Sus scrofa: one gene and its partners. The protein of the gene in region 3 purifies or fractionates together with the protein of the main gene of each other region. This does not show direct contact. Links are inferred from orthologs where the notes say so. Each region holds a gene or a part of one and is shown on either strand. Other genes may lie near its edges.

Region 1 (2,444 bases), on a different chromosome or scaffold from region 3:
AGAAGCCACGCCCGTCTTCACACACAGAGCAGACACCTGCCACGTTCCGGTCCCTGCACAGCCCTGCTCTCCCTGGTCACTCCCCAGCAGGGCCCACTCCGAGGCCTCCCGGCCAGAGGGCACCCTCCACTCCCTCCCTGGCAGCCTCCACAGCGGGGGCACTTTCTTTGCTTCCCTCACTTGGCTCACGTTCACCACGTGCCGGCAAGGTCGGGAGACCCCAGGCGGCCAGCCATCGCGCCGACCCTCCCTGGCACCTGAGGCCAACTCTGTGGGACCCCTCATGACACGGGTTGTGAGTGCCAGCGTCTGTGGTCAATAGAGTGCTCTTATGGGCAGGGCCCGCCCGTGTCTGTATCCACAGTGCTGGGGACCCAGTAGGGTCTCAAGAAATGTGCCAAGTGAGGGCATGAAACAACACAAAACAAGAAATCAGTGTTTGGCAAGATAAAGAATCTTCTAACGTCAAGACTGGTCTGAGAGTACATTAAAGATACACAGCTCGTGGGGCACAGCCAAGAGCGTACGCAGTGATAAAGGACTGGTGCTGTTTGATTAACTCCCCAAAAAAGGACACAGCAAAATACAGCATTTATTTCATTGGGTTTATATAGAAGCTATTTCTAGCTATTTATCACTTTAAATGGCACAGAACTCTGTTTCTGAAGAGAAATACATTCAAGGAGAAGCTCTAGGCGTGTCGTAGATTTTTCGCCAGAAAGTAGGGTGTCGGCCTCATAATTGACTCCACACTCAAAGGGCGGCCAAACGAGGCGATAACTGCAAAGAGGGAGGAGCTCCCCAAACCGTCGGCCCCCCGCGTCTGCCACACGGTCAGAGCCAAAGAAGGCCGGGCCAGCTGAGACGAACTCATCCCACGTACCTGCTGTCATGCGGAACGTGACCGAGATGGAGAGAAGGGATCGGCCCCAAGATTTAAGCTGCCACCAAAGCCCCTGCGATGAGCTGTGCAGCAGGGCTCTCTTTAACGTGTGCGGGAACCAGACCTACCACTCCCCACTCTGCAAGGGGCCTCAGAAGTGCTCTGCGAGCAGAGGCCTGCTCCCGGGCCTCTGTGTGGCTAAGAAAGAGCCACAGCTCGTTCAAGTCTGGCTAGCTGTTTCCACAACACGCAAAGCCTCCGAGGCCAAGAGAAGTGCACCGGCCCCCCTCCACCACCCAGGGCAACCTGACCCGCCAACACCAACGCCAACGGCCGGGTCAACGGCCACCAGCTGGAGACTCGGGTCTCTCCCGCCATCTCCACCCACCTTATGGTGACAGCGTCCCACCTCCAATCTCATCACTGTGTTAACAGTGTGATAACACCCTACTGCCTAAACCGATTCAGAATCCTCAAAAATCCGAACTACGCAAACTGTGTTAAAAAGACTACACAAGGGGATTTACCCTCTTTAAAAAGCTTCTCATCCAATGGGAATGGAATGGAGTTTGAAGATGGGAATTCAAGATAAGCACTGCTGTCTTATTTTTAGTCTCAGAATTAAATTTCAACTTACAGCAGCGGAGGGTGGGAGGGATTGGGGGTGTTTCTGTTTGAATAGTCGAGAAGCCTCTGCTCAAGGGACCCTGGCTCTTGACTGGGGGGTGTGTGGAGGTGTGCTCAGGACCCTTTGAGAACTCGAGGAAAGGAGTGGAGATTGCCGCCTGGAGGGAAATGTGCCAACACGAAACCGCCCGACAAATCCGGGGGTGCGTCAACATCCCCGCCCAGGATCGGAGGGAAAGAGCCCCCTTCTCCGCAGACATCAGGAAACAAAACACGGGTACCTTCAACTGCTTGTTCTCCTCCCGCAGCCTCTGGACCTCGCTCTGCAGCCGCTTACACTCTTCCATCACCTTCTTCACTTCGGTGTCGTCCAGAGCGGAACTCAGGGCTTTAGACACCACTGGCGTTTCTGTCTTTGATGCAGTTGTGGATATAATTTTATTTATTTCTACATCATGCTGTTCAGAAATAAATGAAAGCCCGAGTGTCACCAACTATGTAATAAAGGACTTTTTTATGCAAAGTAAAGTAGTTCTCAGCAAATACCACACGTGGTAGGGTTTCATCCACACTGTAAAATGTCACATTTATTTTTAAAATGGATCGCTTTACCTAGTATCTTAATAATCTCAGCAACTGGGCTCCAGAAATTATGGACAAGGGCAAATAATGAAGCTCGGCTGAGACTAACACTTCAGCGCAAGAGAAGAGGAGCTGGGCATACTGCACGTCAAACCCCTGCCATGCAGAAATCAGCATCCCGCAACGGTGCAAGCTCAGGAATTATTAGCCACAAATCACTGTCGCCACGAAGGTCTCAACACCCCAGGACGCTGCGTGGGGGTGGGAGGCTGAGGGCCATTTCTTTCACGAACTTCTAACTTCGAAGGTGGGGTACAGGTGCCACAAGCTCAGTGTCTATGACAGCTCAGCC
Region 2 (2,219 bases), on a different chromosome or scaffold from region 3:
CAGATGTAAGTGCATCTTTTACAAAACCAACACCAATTTTCAAAAATCAAAATTCACTTATATTACATTGTACTTAGCAGAAAAAGTGACTCTATCTTCTCTGGTTCCAAAATTTTCTATGCTGGCACAGATTAACCAAATAAAAGACTAATTGCAGGAAAGTACACCAGACCCCATAATGTTGCATTTACACTGAAAACATACCACACGGTTGACAGGGGCAAGGATAGGGTCATTTTTCACAAAGGAATTCCCAAGGCTCAAGTCATAACAAATTTCCATAATGGAAACTTACTTTTGAGTATCAAACTGGACAGGGAAAAAAACCACTTTTAACTATTACAATGAAATGTTCTAAAATAAAAGGAATTATTAGGCTGGTCAAAAAGCAGTGACTAGAACCAAGAAGCATTATTAGGCTTTCTTGAGAAGATACTGAAAGAACCTATGAAGACTAGAGTAAAATAAACACAACAGAGCCATGCAGCAGACACGTAAACTGACTGAAATCACAGCACTTTTATTCTCATTGCTTATTTTATATTATCTCGAAGACAAATGGATTTTGATCTTCCAAAATGCCAAAAGCGGCCTGAAATGTTATCAATTCCTTTGCTTAAAACAATGAGGACTCTTCCCCGCAAATACTGTAATATATGAAAGGGTTCAGTGTGAGATAAATTACACATTTTATAACCCAAATCACCACAGCGCACGCCCTGGTATCCCATCTAATGACATGACAGACACACACAAGCTATCGAGCAAGAATCTGTTAACGGTTTTATTATTTTTATGTTAAATACCATGGGACAGGATTGTAAGGGTGAAAAACTCAGTCAACAACTGCCTCACGAGGGATAAGAAAAATTCTGCCATGATATTAGCAAAGGTAAAGGAGAAAATTTACACTGTAAGAGGCACCATTTCCCCACAGAATACCTCTTGGCATTTCCTGAATGAGTGGGATTAGCAATCTAAATAAATCATATTTCAAGAGGTAACAGCAACAGATAAAATTTAAAGGGATTATTAAAATAACATTTACAAGACTCTGAACAATTCTTGAACTCTTATTAAAACCACAAAGAAAGAACAATTTTTTATTTATGAATTTCATAAAGGACTGAATGTGCAACTGACACCTGCTAGTGATGGTCTGGCCACGTACACTCTGTCCAGGCGCCGAACACTCTGCTCTTACTGATTTCTAACCGTGAGACCTTTAAAGGCGAGGCCTACATGACGCTGTACACACAAAGAATGGTCACCGTGGGCCACACTACCAGTGAGATGGTAGGTAAACAAATCTTTTTCTGGTCGGGAGAAAAAAAAAGAAATAGCACTCTGCATGCTTCACTCTACAAGATGAATTTTCCTAGAAAGAATCCAATGAAAATGGCTGCAATTACAACAAGGAGTGAAGGAAGAGGGCTGGTGACATTATCTCTGAAGGACGCGGCTGAGGTGGATCCAGGTTTTTCCGAATGTGCTACCTTTCTGAGCCTTAAGCCTTCATCCTAGGAAAAAATATATGCACAAAGAAAGGTTTTAAAAACGAATATGCATAAGAGGACTGAGCTACAAATGAACAGACAAGGAAGCAAAGTAGGATGCATGCAGCTTGGTGACAACAGGGATGAGCCGCTAGCTGGCCTAATAAAACTTTCTAGGGGGACAGAAACGTTCTAAAAGGGGGCTCCAGGGATGGCTGTGCAATTCTATAAATTTACTAAAAATCAGAGCTGTATACTCACAACAGGTGTCCTTATGGAATATAAATTACACCTCAATAATGCTGATTTTTAAAACTGGAGCTAAGAAATATACTCCCAAAAAACTGAAATATCAGCTACAGTTACATTTACATAGAAGGAAAAATCCTACTAAAATGAACACAACTGAAGAATTCTCTGCATGCAGTTATTTCCCAGTGGCCCACAGTAGCTTGACATTGCTTACACCTGTCCTAGCCCTGAGCCACAGACTACCAGAAACAAAGTTAGGTCAGATAGTCTGAGTTAGGGCACTCGCACAGCAGAGGTTCAGGGGACAGATAGGACCTGAAAGGGTTTGGGAGAAGGGGGAAGTTCAGGACAATATTTAAACGTAGTGTTCTGACGTGCCCCATGCAAAGCAGGAGGTCGGCACAGGGTCTGGACTGCAGAGCAAATGCAAAATCCTTTGTTAATGGCAACTACAAGTACAACAGATGAGGG
Region 3 (3,928 bases):
AACAAGTGCTTTGGTTTAAAAGCAAACACCAACCTCCTTCCATTCGAGGCAACTCTGAAGAAGGTTTCTTACTTTGCCTCTGTTGGAGGAAACAGGGCCCACGAGAATGATGAAAGCATCCTGTGACATGTCACAACTACGTGATGGGATGCTCCAGCACCCTCACCCTGCAGGCCAGCTCCCTTGGTCTAAGCCAGGTCCGATAGCAGACCGGGTAGTATGGTCCTTGGGGCACTGGACTCTCATATCCAGGATAGCTTTGGGTGACCTTAGGACCATTTGGCAGTTTGAGTCCTCGTAACCAGTTAACAGCTGGGAAGAATTCACTTCTGCCTGGACCTGGGCATCTACTCTTTGGGGATCAGCACAGCTACAGGGCACCTCCCCAGTTCACACCTACAAGATAACAGTCAATCATTCAGTCCCAACACTCTAAGAGCTAATTCTTCTCTGATGAACACTGACCATGTGTCAGGCAGGGTGCAATGAACAGCCAAGGCCATGGGTTTAGATCTCTGTGGTACCAAACTCTAACCAACTGGGTCAACCATAAGGAAAAGTAAGTGACAGAAATTGAACAGGTCTTGAACCCAGAACTGTGGCCTTTTTTAGTGCCACACTCCACTCAAAACAAACTTATAAATGCCAGTGCATACCTAGCGAGGCAAGTGAGAAAATGACAGAGGCGGCAGAGTGTAGGAATGAGGAGGAAGGATTACTCAGAGAGGAAGTCATGTGGCTGAAATTTTGGTTAGAACAGGAAAAGAATTTTCGCAAAGAAAAAGTATTCTATATGAACATCAGGGATCATGGTTACAATTCTGTTTTCTCTGCATTAAGTACTCTTCTGTGATTTAGCACAGATACTTTCCCCACAGGAGAGTACACTTAGAGCTAAAACCACACACTTTAAGAACTTCAGAATATTACATATTTGTGAACTGAGAATTTGTTTTGCTAGAGAAAGAACAGACTTCATCTATCAGTGCGTTGTTTTGAATGATTCTTATGGCTGGTGTTGAAATCAACTGAACTTTTATTAAACAATTTTTTTTTTTTTTTTGGTCTTTTTGCCTTTTCTAGGGCCGCTCCCATGGCATATGGAGGTTCCCAGGCTAGGGGTCGAATCGGAGCTGTAGCTGCCGGCCTACACCAGAGACACAGCAACTCAGGATCCGAGCCACACCTGCAACCTACACCACAGCTCATGGCAACGCCGGATCCTTAACCCACTGAGCGAGGCCAGGGATCGAACCCACAACCTCATGGTTCCTAGTCGGATTCATTAACCACTGAGCCACAACGGGAATTCCTCTTTTTTTAAATTTATTTATTTATTTATTTTTTAACTTTCAAACATTGTAATGGCAAAGAGAATCACTTAGTCTATCCTTACCTCCCTGGCCCCCATCTTCCTGTTAAGCAGTTGACTTGCACAAGGTTTAAGCAACTGGTGGACTGGCAATTATGTCCATATACCACCCTGCCCTTCCCTCAGAAAAACTATCATCACATGTGAACTGTAATTATTTAACTGCCTGCCTGCTTCACCTGACCCCACCAGAAAGGCAAACTTCACAGGAAAAGGGCTTTGATTGCAGTCCCTGCTAAGCACGCAGTAGGCACTAGTTAAACTGTTAAATGCAGGAAGGAGTTAAAGGGCCCACGCATAGCAGAAATGCTATGCTAGCAGGGTAGATACGAATAAAGCATTTGTGAATGAAAGGCCTTTAGAATAAATGAATTGATGCCAACTGGGCCATTTAAGCTGGCAAAGGAGGAGTAACTCTTGCCTGGCAAAGTGTGTTTGTAGCGACCTTGAGCATATGGAAGCCACATTTTTAGGCTGGGGTGTGCACGGAGTCTCTGAGAATTCTGTACAAGGAAGAAGCTGATTCCATTTTATACCGCACGTTGTAAATGGCACTATCGACATATAAAAGACTCTGCCCAAGGAGGCTCTGGGCAGAATGTCCCAGCCCACCCTAAGCCAGAGAGAAATAAACCCTAAGCATTGAACGTCCCCAGGATAGGAAGCACCTTCAAATCCAGGAAAAGAAGGTAAGTAGATACCCGGAGCTGAAGGTGGCCGCTCTAGATCAGCCCTTTTGTCAGCCAATGATCAGGGCCCTCTCTGTGTTCCAGATTCCAAGGTGACGGTGCCACAGGTTAGAAATTCCCTTTCGTATTCACGGCGTATGACTGGTAACAATGGAATTTTGCATCTCTTACTAACCAGCTCTTCGGCTTAAGTACCTCCCACATATACACCCACACCCGAGGTGAGGGGTGCAGGCGCCTAAGGATCTGAGGCTTGGGCAGGCACAAAGCTTGACAGGCGGGCCCGCGCCCTTGGCTTTCGGGGGCCCAGGCTAACGCGAGACGCCTCGCCCGCCCAGGGCCGCCCCCGCGCGGGGTGGAAGTGGAGGCTGGATAGGCTCTCCGCACCTCGGCGGGTTGCAGAGCCTCGGCGTACGGGCCGGGCGTTGGGGCGTTTCGGCGTTGGGGTGGGGTACGCCTCGCCCCAGGCCGGGCGGGCAGGAGCTGGGGATGGGGGACCGTCGGAGCGGCAGGGGACTCACCTGCAGCAGCACCGCCAGCAGGAAGCACAGGTACATCTGGTAGATGCCCATCTCGCCCACTGCCTGGAACGCCTCCTCCACCTCCATGGCGGGCCGCGCGCTCCGCCTCGGCCCCGCCGCCAGCAGGAGCCCGGCCCTGGCCTGCCCTTCTACCGCCCCCGCTCCGGCGCGGCCCTCGGCGGCGGGCCCAGCGCGCGAGCCCCACGGCGCCCGGCACCGGCTCGGCCCCGCCGGCTCCCAGCCCGGCGCGGCGTGGGTGCGCGGGCGGGGCGGCGGGCCGCGCGTCTGCGCGGGCGGGGCCGGGGGCCGCGCGGGCTTGCGAGTCCGGGGCGGGAGGCCGGGTACCCGGGCCTCTGCGCTTCCTGTTAAAGATTTTTTTTTCTGAGAAGGATGAGTGTCTGCGGCGCTTAAAGGAAAGAGGAAGTGGAAGTGGGCTCGAGCTTAGGCATCTCTCTGATGGAGAAACACGAAAAGGGCAGCTGCCACGGCCCCGGCTTCGGCGATGAGTGCTGGGTGACCTGGGGACTGCTCAGCATTATTTGCTTTTTTGTACAAATCAGTTTAATGAGGGGAGAGGGAATGGGTTCTAGATCTTTCAGAGATGAGTGGTGTTCAACATTTTTTTCCAGTGCTACTCAGTGCTACCCTATGAGGTCAGGTCACAGGTAGTCAAATCCTTGCAAAACCATAAGATGTATTTGGTTATAGATATATGCACGAGGTACGAAGGAAATACAAAAAAACTGAAAGATTAATTTGTGGGACAGGACATGATGGCTGCCAAGGTGATTGAAGGATAAACAGCAGTGTGCCCGGCTGGAAATGGAAAAAGATGCAACAGGAACTAGGGACGCTGGTTGCCTGCTTTAAGTCCCCACTTTTCTGAACCTGCTTAGGTCGATTTTAACAGCTGCATAGTAGTCCACTGTCCAGACTGTGGCCCTCAATACAATAGTTAACAGAAGAGATGAACAGCTATAATGCCTTATCCAGGATTTTACCTCTAGGAGAGGGAGAAGGACCTCTAATTTTCTTGTAACTGCTCTTGTCTGGATTTGGCTGTAAGATTATAGAAGTTTAGTAAAATGAGTTGGAAGTATTTGGTAAAACTCCTTTTTTTTTTTTTTTTTTTTTTTCCTTTTTGGTTCTGACCACAGCCTGTGGAAGTTACCCTGGCCAGAGACGGAACCTGTGCCACAGCAACCCAAGCCTATGAGGCACAAGGGAACCCTGGTAAACCTGTTGAAACCATCTGGACTTGGCTTATTTTGCAAGATGAGCCTTGTTATTACAGAGATAGAGAGATAGAGAGAGAGAGAGAGAGAGAGAGAGAGAGAGAGATAGAC

The links.
Region 1: the proteins of SLC22A15 (region 3) and VAPB purify together in Homo sapiens (co-immunoprecipitation; 3 studies listed by BioGRID and IntAct, with this or other methods). This does not show direct contact. The link is inferred for Sus scrofa from reciprocal best matches to the Homo sapiens genes SLC22A15 and VAPB.
Region 2: the proteins of SLC22A15 (region 3) and VAPA purify together in Homo sapiens (co-immunoprecipitation; 3 studies listed by BioGRID and IntAct, with this or other methods). This does not show direct contact. The link is inferred for Sus scrofa from reciprocal best matches to the Homo sapiens genes SLC22A15 and VAPA.

The regions. Positions count from the first base shown.
Region 1 is NC_010459.5:58,640,536-58,642,979, reverse strand, and holds part of VAPB (vesicle-associated membrane protein-associated protein B), read right to left. Parts: intron 1,969-2,444; coding exon 1,792-1,968; intron 1-1,791. UniProt on the Homo sapiens protein: Endoplasmic reticulum (ER)-anchored protein that mediates the formation of contact sites between the ER and endosomes via interaction with FFAT motif-containing proteins such as STARD3 or WDR44.
Region 2 is NC_010448.4:98,211,835-98,214,053, forward strand, and holds the end of VAPA (vesicle-associated membrane protein-associated protein A), read right to left. Parts: intron 1,521-2,219; coding exon 1,362-1,520; 3' UTR 501-1,361; downstream 1-500. UniProt on the Homo sapiens protein: Endoplasmic reticulum (ER)-anchored protein that mediates the formation of contact sites between the ER and endosomes via interaction with FFAT motif-containing proteins such as STARD3 or WDR44.
Region 3 is NC_010446.5:104,752,868-104,756,795, forward strand, and holds the start of SLC22A15 (solute carrier family 22 member 15), read right to left. Parts: upstream 2,801-3,928; 5' UTR 2,670-2,800; coding exon 2,583-2,669; exon of another isoform or gene 2,186-2,582; intron 1-2,185. UniProt on the Homo sapiens protein: Organic zwitterion/cation transporter with apparent specificity for amino acids and their derivatives. Has low affinity for its substrates and may regulate their flux across the plasma membrane at high substrate concentrations.